2 linked regions of the Drosophila melanogaster genome follow. The protein of the gene in region 1 interacts with the protein of each later gene in a pairwise test. Each region holds a gene or a part of one and is shown on either strand. Other genes may lie near its edges.

What was found.
Region 2: the proteins of CG42319 (region 1) and CG3557 interact in a two-hybrid assay, tested with the Drosophila melanogaster proteins (one large-scale study listed by BioGRID).

What each region holds. Positions count from the first base shown.
Region 1 is NT_033778.4:13,256,898-13,263,625, forward strand, and holds the start of CG42319 (uncharacterized protein), read left to right. Parts: upstream 1-3,203; 5' UTR 3,204-3,520; intron 3,521-3,580; 5' UTR 3,581-3,790; coding exon 3,791-3,997; intron 3,998-5,587; exon of another isoform or gene 5,588-5,745; coding exon 5,746-5,897; intron 5,898-6,008; coding exon 6,009-6,100; intron 6,101-6,595; coding exon of another isoform or gene 6,596-6,728. Other genes in the region: CG4716 (uncharacterized protein), read left to right, coding at 1-457; CG10799 (uncharacterized protein), read left to right, coding at 1,054-1,554.
Region 2 is NT_033779.5:2,382,114-2,388,675, reverse strand, and holds CG3557 (uncharacterized protein), read left to right. Parts: upstream 1-2,883; 5' UTR 2,884-2,973; coding exon 2,974-3,169; intron 3,170-3,224; coding exon 3,225-3,844; 3' UTR 3,845-3,915; downstream 3,916-6,562. Other genes in the region: PIG-Wa (phosphatidylinositol glycan anchor biosynthesis class W a), read right to left, coding at 3,945-4,579, 4,633-5,377; Eogt (EGF-domain O-GlcNAc transferase), read right to left, coding at 5,672-6,059, 6,116-6,327, 6,380-6,562.

The sequences.
Region 1 (6,728 bases):
TAATGACAAAGCCAAAGACAAGGCCAAGAACAAGGCGGACAGCTCCGGCGATTCCTCCTCCGAGGAAAAGACAACACCAGCTGCGGTAGAAGAAACAACTACGGAGCACACTGCTAGGAAACGCAGAAGCACGGAGGATACGATGGTGCGATCCTTTTGCCAGTCACTGAAAGAATTCGATATTAAGAATTTCAATCTACAATCTGCATATGACCGGGCCGTAAGCTTTTGTAAGCAAAGGGAGTCTAGACGAAGACGCCAGGCTGCCGATCAGAAATCCAGCGATGCGCCGGACCTGGATGCCCAGGCTGAGAAGGAACTGGACGAGCAGATGGCGCAGGCTGTGGCGGAGCTTTTGAAGGACAAGGACAACACCAGCATCGAAGACTACGCCCAGGGATGCGAGGTCATGGAGGTTAGCTCCAAAGAGGCCAACGAGGCCACCTATGCCGAATGATTTTGAATAAACATAAATAACATTATAGCTTATGTTTTCGTAGCCATATTACATTTTTACTATTATTATAATGACTGAGTCATCAAAACAAGAGATTAGGCTATTGCCTATGTATTATTTACTTTTTAACTTATGGGGTGTGTTTATTCAAGTTTACGAGTAACACGTATAAATATCAGCAACAAGAAATATTTTCCTCTTCTAATAATTAATTTTGCCATATTATTTAACTATTACAATTTTCATTACTTGAAATGCATTTGGAAATTAGCTCACCTAACATTGAAACTTAGCTTATTTAATTGTGTAAGTCAAATTATGCATTACGTGTCTGTTTTAAGGGACTAAGTGCGTCTGTTTCAATCTACATGCATTATAAAGAGTCATTTCTGAAACCCACTATCTGCCTGACTCAATTGAATTTGAGTCTATAATCACATAATCGCCGAGGAGGCGATAGCACATTTGTTGAGGCTTCGCCGGTAACGTGTGCAGCTGTCCAGAATCAGTTCGAAAAAATCAGTCTCAGCGAGAAGAACCCACCCATCAAGCTAGTGGAATAGTGGAGTTTACCAGGATATACAAAGATTACCGGGATGCGTCGATCTGTTTTGCTGTTCCTAATCTCCGCCATTGTGCTGAGCGCGGCACTTCCTTTGCCCCCAATTTGGGAGGACTCCGAATCGGATTCCGAGTATAATGATTATAGTGAGCTATCGAAGCAGCAGAATCTGAAGAGCAGTATCGAGAAAACTATCAGCAAGCGAGCTACCAAGGACACTAGTAACAGCACGGAAGATGATGAGCTCACGGATGGTAGCAATGAGAATGTTAACGATAAAATGGACAGCTCAATGGAATCGTCTTCTATGCTGATCATGGCATCCGAGGAAGAATCGGAGTCCGCTGTCAGAAGGCGCAGGTCTGGTGAGAGGAACAGGAATATAGGGCTCCTGGCCACGATTTGCCCAAATGCTGATTTCAGAGATTTGGAGAACGGTATTACCCTAGATTCTAGAATTGAAATAAGGGATATGTATGCGATTTGTAAAACTCTACCAGAGTCCGGTCGTCTACAGCAATACAACCGTTCATAAATTAAATAAAAGCAAAGAAGAATTCTAAAAATTTAAAAATTCTTCTGAAATTTGTTTCCCTCAGTCATGAAACCCCTGTCTCATTAGTCATCTACCTCATTATCAGTAAAAACCATCCTTATCACGACAGCAGTCGTCAAAGTTGTCTGACCTCAGAGCAAAAATGTCAGTTTCATGTTTGTTTACGCTTTTGAATTTATGATTTACTCATGAGAACTAAAAAAAGGTCTGCATTCTTGAAGTGATTTTAGAACGCTTTGGTAACCAATATCTTGTTAATAAGGATTTAGAAATATAAAATTTTTTTTTGTAATATTACCAACAAAATCTTTTGGAGAATTTCGATCGATACTTATAACCAACTTTGAAACTTCTCTTTGAAACTGAAGCTAGGGTATCTGTTAGTCGAGGAAATTGACCACAGCATGTTCTTTAGTTTCCGTACGAAAAACTATGCATATATGCTAAACGAATTGTTTTTTTTTGTTTTCTGAAGTCTTTTTTGTGATTCGTGTCATCTGCATTTTGCGCCCTTTCCGACGTTTGGGATATTGAAAAATTTTCTCGAAAAAATCGCCTACGGTTTTCTCCCTTTGTTTGTCACCATTTGTTGTTGTTGCAGCTTTGCGGCTGATAAGGCACGTTTTGTTCACTCTTTTATGGCCACGTCAAAGAAATGTGTACGAACTATTCCTTAAACATGCATATCACACACATGAGCATATCCACATTTGTAGTATTTCCTGTGCTAATCGAAATTTCGTTGTCAGGTGTGTGCCACTTTTTTGGGGCCTTTCTCCGAAAATTTCCCACACATGGAACTCTGATTTCCATTGTTGTTTATTTGACAAGTCGAATTCTTTGCCTGTGAGCTTGGCACGTTCAAGTTATTTATTCTGCTTTAAACTTGGCAGTTGACGTGCATCACAAAGATGTTGGGTATGGACATGAACTGCGCAAAGGCTTTAAAATATGATTTTATGGTAGAGGTAAATTAAATTAACCATTTCTTAGTTGATAATAATTGGGATGTTACTCGTGAATTAATTACTTTATTCGTTTAAAAGTATATAACACGTAAGGGAAAGCGTTTCCGAAACTACATAGTATACATATTCTTGATCAGGATCACTAGCATATCCGGACATGTCCGTATGTCCATCTGTCTGTCCGCATGAACGCTATGATCTCGGGAACTATAAAAGCTTGAATTTTCAAATTGGTATTTGAGTAGTGATTTTATAAATAAATTTATAAGGTATCATCTGTTACTTTCATCTCCAGTTCCTTTTCTTGATTGAATATAAAACTAGCTTGCATGCGTAGCTTTAATTAATACTCGTTGTTGAGCAATGAATAATAACTTAATAACAGTGGAAAGAGAAAAAACAGCTGATGCTTTGACTATGAATACCAAATGCACTTGTGAATTTAAACTTGTATATTTGAGAAGATCTTTAATCAAAAGCAAAAAACGCTTCGACTTGGCAAAAAAAAAAAGCAACAAAGAATGCAACAGTTTTGCATCGTCACATTATCTAAAAAAAAAAAGGAAAAACAGACCACGAGGAGCAGAGGAAAAGCGCGAGAGAGAATGGGGAAAATAGAAAAAATGCAGCCACAAAGGAAAACTTCTCGAAAATTATTTTAGTTGCCCAAGTCGAGTGCAGTCGTGTGGAAGTGAAAGAGAAGCCACAAAATACAATAAAAAAAAAAGAAAAACAAAAGAACCAGGCAGCAGGCATAAAAAAAGCGTTAAATACACTTTCCATAATTATCCCTCATAGTCGTGCTTATTCTTGGTTATTCAACAATTTCGGAGTTTCCGTACTTTTCGCCACTTTGCGGGCCAAGATCCAATGAGATTGGGGTTGTGCAATGCGTGACTGCTGATTATATAAGTCGCACAATTACCCAAAGTTCAGGCATTCAACTAGTTCCTTCACTTTCAATAGAAAGTTCGAAAGTAAGCGAGTTTCAGGTTGTGTTGAAAAGCCGGCAAAAGTCGAGTAATATTTTTGCACAGGCGGAATTTTGACAGGCAAACGCAAACAAGCAATCGGAAAAAAGAGCAACTAAAACTTTCGCAGCGCTAAAAAAAAGAGCAATATAAAAGTGGAAAGGTAGAATAGAAAAGCAAGAGTGCCGCCGGCAAGAGTGCGAATTTATAAATAAAACCAGCGGATAGCAGGAAGAGATCCGGTATCTCTTCGCCAGAGAACGGGTAAACAAAGCGATGCCGGAACAACTGGGTCTGCTATGGTCCGTGCCGGAGTCCAAGTCAAAGGCGCCCATCATCAAGGTGTCCTGCGGCATCGGCGATACGGACGGCTATCCCGCCTTCGATGTCGACTCCGATGCGTATGCCACCAAGGACGACAGCCGGTGGGGATTCCTCATAACCGGCGGAGCCGAGTTCCATATGCCGCTGACAGTCTTCCAGGTGAGTTGCGTGGTTAAGCTTGAGGTCGGCATGGGGGTGGTTCACCCTTGGGAACGGGACCATCTGGTGCCTGGCCAAGAATTATATTGATACAGTCAATCTCGGGCCATTGGAAATTTTAGCTAAGGCACTTAAGCTGAACTGGATAACCGGAAACCACCAGGAAAGGGAAAAATACAATAGAAATTTGCAATATAAACCAATTCCTCATTTCACTTCAAACTTATTAAAGTTACACCGCATGAAGATAATTTATAACATGGTTGATAACTAGTGGTATTAAATAGTATGCGTTTGCTTAGTGGTGTTTATTTCAAGTTAAAAAATGATTTAGATACATCGTAGGCTTAATTGATTTTTAAGATTTTAAGAAGAGTTTTGAGAAGAGAAAACCTGCTGACTAAAATCTTTTTTCTATTTTTCAATTATTTGAACAATATACGTAATGTATAGAATTTTTATTGATAATCAACTGGCTTGAGTTACTCTTGCAGTAGTATCTACTGTAGCTTCTTTCCGCTGCAACTGCTGTTTCGTCATTGTTTCCAATTTTTGGTTGCGAGCCAGAATGACAACAACCCAACCCACCAGCCCACGTCAAATTTGAATTCCAATTATGCTATGACGAAGTCGCATCGAATGCAAATTGGCTGCCGCCAAATAGAAGCGGGCATTTTATTGTTTCTTCCATCTGCACCTGCCGCGCCCCGTCTTCGGTCTTCGTGTTCGGTCTTCAGTGCTCAGTCTTCGGTCTTCAAGTCTTTTCTAGCCTTTTAGTTGGCGTGTCTTGTCTCCGCCTGTTTTGCTCTTTTTGGCCCACTTCAGTCTCGAGTGAATGTACAATATTTGGGTTAGCCGAACACCCCTTCCCATCAAACATAAAATAAATACGCTGGTTGTCATAAAAGATATTTGTCGAAGCAGATATACAATCGAATATCGGATCAATAAAAGTATTTTTACACGCATTACAACTGGAGAAATCCCATGATTATGGGTATTGGAAATCAAAGTCATAACCATTTTGTATTTGTATTATAAACAACACTTATAAAAATGTTACGCACTGTACCGTATATCTATGCAAAATGATTTCCCATAAGGCAAAACTATTAGTATTGCTTTTGGCTTTTGTGCAACATTTTACTTTTGACGTTTTGCGTTTAGTCTTAAAGAAAAATATCAATTGTTGTTTTGTTTGTTTTATTTTTGAATTCAAGTCATTTTGAGGGTAACATTTGAAGAGTTTGATGAACTTAATGCCTAGTTTGGCGTAGCTAAACTTGCTCTTTAAACATTAAATTCTCACATATGTAATATACTTCTGAACCGTATTTATTTCATCTATTTTTATATTTTTCAAGGGATGTCTATTATAGGGTACACGCCAAGTTGATTATGCTTTCTTTAAAAACACCGCATTGTGTCTGTTTTCTTTTAGATGTTATTGTTTTTTCATTATTTTTGGGCCATTTTCTTTTGGGAGCAGCCGTTCAGTCAGCTCATCTCGTATACATGTCATCTGTATCTGTCGTTCGCGCATCGCTTATATTTTCTGAACCTAAACTCAAAGTACGCAGATATCCATTCAATTGCGCCTCGAAACTCGCACGGTACGGTTTTTGCTGCTCTTTCATCTGCTGAAAGTGAAAGGAGCTGCCACGATTTCGCTTTCACTTACGTTTTCGGTATCGGCATCGACATCGCAACGCTCTCGATTTCAATCGACATCCTTGTGGTCCTTGCAGGTTACCCCCAACGGCCTGGCCGACAAAGCGGGCATTCGCCTGGGCGACATCATACTCGAGATCAACGAGGAGGACGCCTCGCAGCTGACGCTGTCCCAGGCCCACGAGAAAATCAACTCGACACCCAAGAAGATACATTTCCTGCTGCGCAAGTAGGTTGCCCCAGATGCACTTGGCCTGCGGTGCGTCTGGGAGGCTTTCAGGCCGTTTAACTTACGTAATGAGCAAACTACTGTCTGCTGTCCATCTCTATAACCCCGCAGCATGGAGGAGGACGATCCCATGGGCCAGTTTGAGGCTGGGGAGGAGAAGTCGATTGTGATGCGGGTTCCAAAGCCTTTGCCGCCGCCCAGTGGTGAGTACTTACTTTTTGCATGGCTTCCCAAATCAGTTCATTCGCCTACAGCTCCATCCCATTCCTTTATTACTGACATTAAAGTGTAGTGAAAATGTTTTACTTTCATTAATAACCCAAGTGCAATTAATAATATGTGATGTGTGTTTGATAAGTTACTAAGAAAATATCACTTAATGCTAGAAAAATATATATCTAAGTTAAAAGATGATTCAGTCAGCTTATAGTTATTTTCAATTAAGATTAAATAAACTTCCATAAATAATGAAATACAATACATTGAATGATACTTAGTAATAGGAGAATGAAAAATAAAGAAACTCATTTACAGCCTCTCTTCTAACTGCTTTATAAGAATTCACTTGTCTTAAATGTATAACGTTCGTATCAGAATTAATTAACAATTAATGTAAATATGTAGTCATTAGGTTTCATAGTCCCCAGTTGTTTCCTGTGTAGAGCCCCGAACTCACTTGGCTTTGTATCTTTTTGTAGAATTCACCCCAACCCCCCTGCTTGGCTCGCGTTGTTGGCATCCGATAATGTGGCAAGACCCTCCGGAGCCGCCGAAGCCCAAGAAAAAGAAAACGAAAACGCAGCTGGACGACGAGGGCAACGAGGTGGTCAT
Region 2 (6,562 bases), on another chromosome or scaffold:
CTCGATTTCTGTTGTTGTAAATCACAAAGTGAAACCGAAACCGTTAACGTGTTGCGGTTACGCTGCTGACTTTGCTGTGCGGCAACAACAACAAAAAAAAATGAGGCAGAAGTGATGGGGGAGTTGAGGCAAGTCATTCCATTTGGGAGGCTTTATTAAATGCGCACTGAGCTGAGGGGCAATGTCCTGTCTCGGCTTTTTATTGCGATTTTTTCGCAATGTTTTCGCTCTTTGTGTGAGTTTATCAAGCTCCTTACATTTGTTTTCCTGTAAAACGGGGGCAACTTCCCCGAGCAAACTTCTCTTATTTAATGATTCCTTTTAGAAAAGCCCGAATCGATGGGGGAAAACCGAAGGCTGGTTTCGCATTTCAACTTGAGAAATGTGAAATTGTTCCAGTTCCTTATTTTTTCCTTTTTTTTTTGTTGGCCTCCCAAAGATTTGTCAAATCTTTGACACAATGATGCATAGCGTTATCTGAGATTTGCCAAGTGAAAAAATAACAACAAGCGACTTTGCGAATTAATCTTCTTAATGCCTGGGTCCCATAACCATGGGCACTGAGTGGAGTGCTTAGGACACGGAATCACTTAATGCGATTGCCCAAAAAAGGACTCCTCCTTTGGGGCACTTCCAAAAATACTTGCTAATTGCTGCACTCGTTGAGAATGCAACTAGGCAATGCGTTTCCACTGGCGACCATGGCAGTGCACTTCCGAAGGCCATAATCATATCAGCTTCCGCACGATTTAACAGCAACGCAATTTTGATGGCAACCAGACCAGACCGAGTGCGTCAGCATGGCAACCGATTGTCTGTCTATTCATCGCTGGGTTTTCACACTGGAAAAACGTCGAAAATTATAGCAAGCTAAATAAATTAAAGGGAAATTAACTAAAACACAAATAGCTAGTATTTTTATATCACTAAAAAGGATGTCTTAGAGCATGCAAGCTAAAATAAGATGATAGGGTTGCATTTCAACTGTTGTTTTAATGTTTTTAAAAATATGATCTATTTTCAATGATAGTTGGTATATGCCAAGCACTTCTCTTTCGTTCTCTGTCCTGGATTCCTTTCGATTTGCTCAACACTTTTTTTGGCTTCGCATTGATTGCTCCACAATTGCGCAATTTCGCTCACTAAAAGCATTTCAAAGGACCTGTGGAATGGGGCTTCCTCTGCCTGCTGCCATGACGCATAAGCTCCGATAAAAACTGTTGTTCGATAAGCATTTTGTTTGCCATGTGCCTGAAGTTGTTAGGGCGTCTGTGCCCCAGCCCAAGTCACGAACTTCTGTGGTAACGCAGTGGGCTGCTGTGAAGGATTGAAGGCGGAGAAACGCTCGAGGAAGCCATAACGAATCAGTTTTTGATGTGGAACTTTGAAAAGTTCTATGGAAATTGTAAGAAAATTCAGAATGCATGGAAGGAGGCGATTCAATCGCAAGCAACTATATATTGCTTAATGCTAGGGAAACTGAATTAAAACTGAATTTAAGTCCTTTAAACAGAACCATGTAGGTGTCCTGCCACAGAGGAGCTATAGTTCAGACATATATTGCACATTCTCCGCACATTTGCCGCTTGGCAAAAGGTCCTGCAGCTTAGTCACCACACTGCCACACACATGGACACACACACCCACATGTACACATGATATTCATTATGAACGGCTTAAGCGATTTCCCCAGGGCCCAGGAGCTTAGTCCTTCACGCAGCAGACACACTCATGCATATGCACAGATATATTTGGGTTTTTATTTATTTCTTTTTATGAAAGCCCCGCTGAATGGAATCCGATTTGACGAGCAGTCGAAAAAAGGAACTCGTCAGCAAATTGGCAGCTCGAAAAAAGATGCGGTAAGCAGAAAAACCAATTCTCTACCTGATTGTTGGCCACATCAATCAGGATGTCATGTTCTACATGCTGGGGAAAAACATGAACATAATAATTAACGCTCATAATTCGACTCTCCCCAAAAGTGGACAACAATTCGCTTCTTTTGCTAATGAAAATAATCTGTCATCAAAGCCAAAAAGCCACCCCCTATGGTAACAGGTGCTCGTGCTTCCCGCTCTCCTGTTTTGCCTCATCCTGTTGCTTTTTCCAGGACACGCCTCCTGGTACACTATATGATTATATTTGGTTCCCAGCTATTAACTCTGCATAGCTTGTGGGCAGGAAGGGTTGAAAGGTTGGCGGACGGAAATTGCATTTGTGCTGGCCCAAATCAGATAAGATTCACCGGCGACGCCCTCGTCCTTGGCCAGGATATGACATTAAAAGCGCATCAAAGTCGAATGGCGAGCAGAGGCTACGCATCAGCAGCGGAAACTGTTGCCGTAATTACATTCGAGTCGGATAGAAAAAATTCCAAAGACGTATGTTCGGCAATGCGAACGCCTGATACCCTTTTCAGTGAGGAATTTTTGAGGAATCTTATCATTAGTAATCTTGATCTTAATTAATCTTCATCAAGGTATCTAAGTCACGAAATGAAAATGTTAACTTAAAACTCTAAGGTTTGTAGATAGGTTTTCGTATAGTTAAACCTCCTTTCGATGTCCTTTCCTTTGACAATAAGAAGCACATTGCTGGTCATTTGCGCGGTCCTTTAACCCTGGTCGCTTGTGAGCTTAGCTTCCCCCGGAGGCTGAACTTTGATTTGGTCTTTGTTTGCGCCGTTAAATTAAATGTCCTTGCCCAGCCGTTCGGGATCTGTGCTCATCCTGGATGCCCAGGGACAATGCAAGCAATTCCAGTCATTTCCTTAATAGAAATCTTATCTTTTGTGACGCCTTCGCCGTGTGCCTAAGCCGGATATCGCACCTTTGACATCTGCCCATGGCTCCTGACAAAGCAGGTCCATGCTAAGCACTCAAATATCTCTTACTTCCGGTCCGGCTTTTTGGGAGAATATCATTTGGAAAAATTGGGTGTTTATTTATACCAACACTAGCAGACGAAACCATGAAATCCTGTTGTGCCACTCAGACGACGCGTTGTGAGTGTCCAACGGGTCTCAGATTGGGGAAGAAGCCGCAGGCTCCACTCTTCGACATGCTGGGCCCGCATCCAGATGAGGTCATCATGACGATCCTGGACCGCATCCTCTATCTTTCGGGCGCCACGAAAATAATTCCATTGCTGGAGTTGTCGAATGAAGGTCAGTAATCGAAGGAAGTAATATAAATGCGTCCATAGATAAAATATACCCGTAGGATCAGCTTTTAAGAAGGAATCCTGCCCACCACCAGCACCCTGTGCACCAAGCCCTTGCAGTTCCGGAAGCAGCTCGGCTTATCCATCTTCATCGGCCTGGAGTACATGCTGCTCCAAGCCGTCGACTATCTGTTGTTATCCCAAGCCAACGAGATGCTGCGCCAGTCCAAAAGCTCCACTAGTGCCCTGCAGTCCAATGGATACTCCGAAATCTTCCTGCTTCAAGACCGCGAGTCGGCTTAGTTCCGCTGCCTGTTGTCCCCGCCAGCGTACTCCCAGGGTGGACTTCGATCACCCGGCGGAGGATATTCCGTTGAGAAATAAGGCGGGCAGCGCCACGATAAGGGAACAGATAAGCCGATCAATTTCCACCTGCTCGGTGGCCTGTCAACAGCTGAAAGACAAGCTTACATCCCAGATTGCCCAAGGACACAAGGACCAAAAGTGGTTGTGGACCCGTTTGATTCGTGGCAACGATGGGTGCATGGTGTACGAGGTGTACAAGGATTCCGATGTAGACAACTCTCCCTCTAAGATCGGGTCGGAGGCACCCATCATCCTTTTTCTAGTCATGCCGAATGGTTGCATCATGCCCTTTGAGTCTATTTGTGGTCCTTAGGAAGATGGTACTCGTTTTGTATACTTTTTAGCCTGTGGTCAGTTAAAAATAAACTTTCACCCGTACTTTGTATTTTGCTATTTAATTTATACAACAAATACTAAGCTACACGTATGCCTTTTTTTAGCATAAGGAAGACCACTCCAGCACAAACAAACATATAGATGGACAGTATAACAACAGACTCCAGATCACTTCGATGACCCGGGTTCAGGGACATGTTGACCATTCCCGTAAGGAAATTGGAGATCATGAAGTGAGTCAGACCGTTCATGTTCAGACTTTCAACAAAGGTGGGCAAGGATATGTTCTTTTGCCCGTCATCTCTAATTGACTTTTTAGAACAAATATCTGGCCGTACGAGTTTCAGCTCAAAGAAGAACGCGTAGATCACAATTAGGCTTAGGGAGACAGCGAAAATCCAGATTACATAGCCAAAACTAAAAGTTACACGTGCTATGCCCGTTAGAAAAGAACTTATAAAAACCAATTTCCAACAGAGAATGGCCACGAAAAGAATACTCTTTAACTTTCTTATTAGTCCTTGATAAGTCAGGCTATCACGGGAAGTATACCACTTGGCAAAGTAAATGCTGAGCAAATAGAGAGCCACACATCCGTGTAGGGAACTTAAGCCTTCCCGATTGGCACTGAAAAACCCCTCATGGGGTGCAGAAGACATGACGAATTCGGAGAGTCCCAGTTGGAGCACCACTTCGTGAAGGAATAGCAAACCTAAAATCGTAGGAAATTAAAATTTATTGCATTATTATTTTTTCTGGACCTACCTATTGCAAGTGCCAGGAGCTGTTCATCAGAGTTTACCAACAGACTATAGCAGCTGCCCAGCAATTTCGTGAATCCCAGTATGAAGAAGGCATTCAAATGGCGGCCGTATTCCGTCTCATCCTGGTGATAGTCGATCAAAGTGATGACAATGGTGCGAGCAAGCCCTAGGACCAGCAACGGAATAACAGATCTCCTTAGTTTCTTAAGATCAGTGATGCTCCGTGCTCGATGTGAAACCAATCCCATGGTCACCACAAAAAGCCCAATTCCCATATCCATGACAGCTGCTCCGAAAGTCCGGCTTTTCCGGTAATCCGTAGGATACGAAGGGAAATCCACAGCCAGAATGGCGGCACAGGTTCCACTGTAGGCAGTTGCTCTCAGCAGAGTGAAGACTATGGGTCTCTTACCGACCTTATACACGAAGTTTGGAGGATTGGGAGCGACATTTCCATAAATATAGACCAGAACAGCTAAGGAAACCACCAGGGAGTATGTGTAGCTATAGGCACTCCCCACTGTAATCAATATCACGGTGGGTAATCCGATCAGAAACAACTCCAGGAGAAATCTCCTCGTGGATAGCATCGGCAGGTGTCCGCAGAGCAGGCGGGAAAGAACAAATCCCAATATCGTGGGCAGAATGGTTAGAAAGCTATCTAAACTTTCCTTGATAGATCTCCAGGATTTCAAATCCACATCATTAAGTTCGTGCTCTACGAAGCTGGCCACCTCGGCCTCCATTATGTTAAATTTTTATTAGACCTCGGGTTTAAGCTAACGCATAAAACTATAAATTATTACGAACTTTTAAAGCCGGTTGAAAAATGTAAACAAAAACAAATAGTAATGTAAGTTAGCCGATAAAATAGCCGATTATGCAGCAGTCAGCTCTTATCTGTTAGCGGAACAGAAGCGAAATCATTTGGTCACACTTAAATAAATTCAAATTGAAAATGCAATCCTTTTGTATAATACCGATTTATTTTGGGTCTGGCATAAAGCAAAATAAATGCATTTAATCACAATTGAGGCAATCTACAGCTCGTTGCGCTGCGTTTTGGAGGGATTTTCTGATGCCCGTCGGGGGAATTCCTTGTGGGAAAGAATTTCCTCGGCTGCTCCATCGACAAGATGCACAAATTCCTTCACATCAAAGCTATAATTGGTAAACTTGGCGTGTGCGCCGCCCTCGGGATGATGACCCTCGTCCTGTGGGTACACCAAGTCCCGCTGCTCCCAAGTGCGGTAGCGAACGCCACGTAGGCGAGCCAAGTCCTTGTAGCAATTCGGATCCTCGCAGTTGTACAGCTCAAAAATGCAGGCCCAGTTGGGCAGGAAGAGCAAGTGCGTCAGGCCAGCGCCATGCATGCCGATGAGTATGTCCGTGTTCCGTGTGATGGCCAACTGGTTGGTAAAGGGGAGCCTGCGGGGGGAACTCATTAAACTGAAGCCCAAGGAGTGTATTTAAACATTTCTTACCTTTCATAGGAAACACGCTGTACATCGTACTTATCGTTGGCCTCCAGGGGGGCCAGCAGCTCGTCTTCATTCAGCACTTGCCGGTACTTTGTGCGACGCGATAGATATGTTATTCTGATCTTTTGCTGTGGCGGCTTGTAGGGAATCTGCAGGCGGTGCAGAATGAACTCGGAGAAGGCGCGGAAGAGTCCACTATTCGAGCAGCCTTGGATCTAAAAGAAGAACACCTTAGAAACATCGCGACACACGTTTGCCTCCACTTACTATGGGTGTATTGTAGAATAAGCCAAAGATCATCCTGGGCAGCAGCGGCAGCACAACGTTCTTGAAGCATACCCGCTTGCCCTCCACATCGCTGAGTGTCCATACTGGTCGTTGCGAGAAGGCCTTAAATGTGTCCCTGAAGGGCGAATCGTACGGATAGGTCTCCCATATAAGTATCTGCAC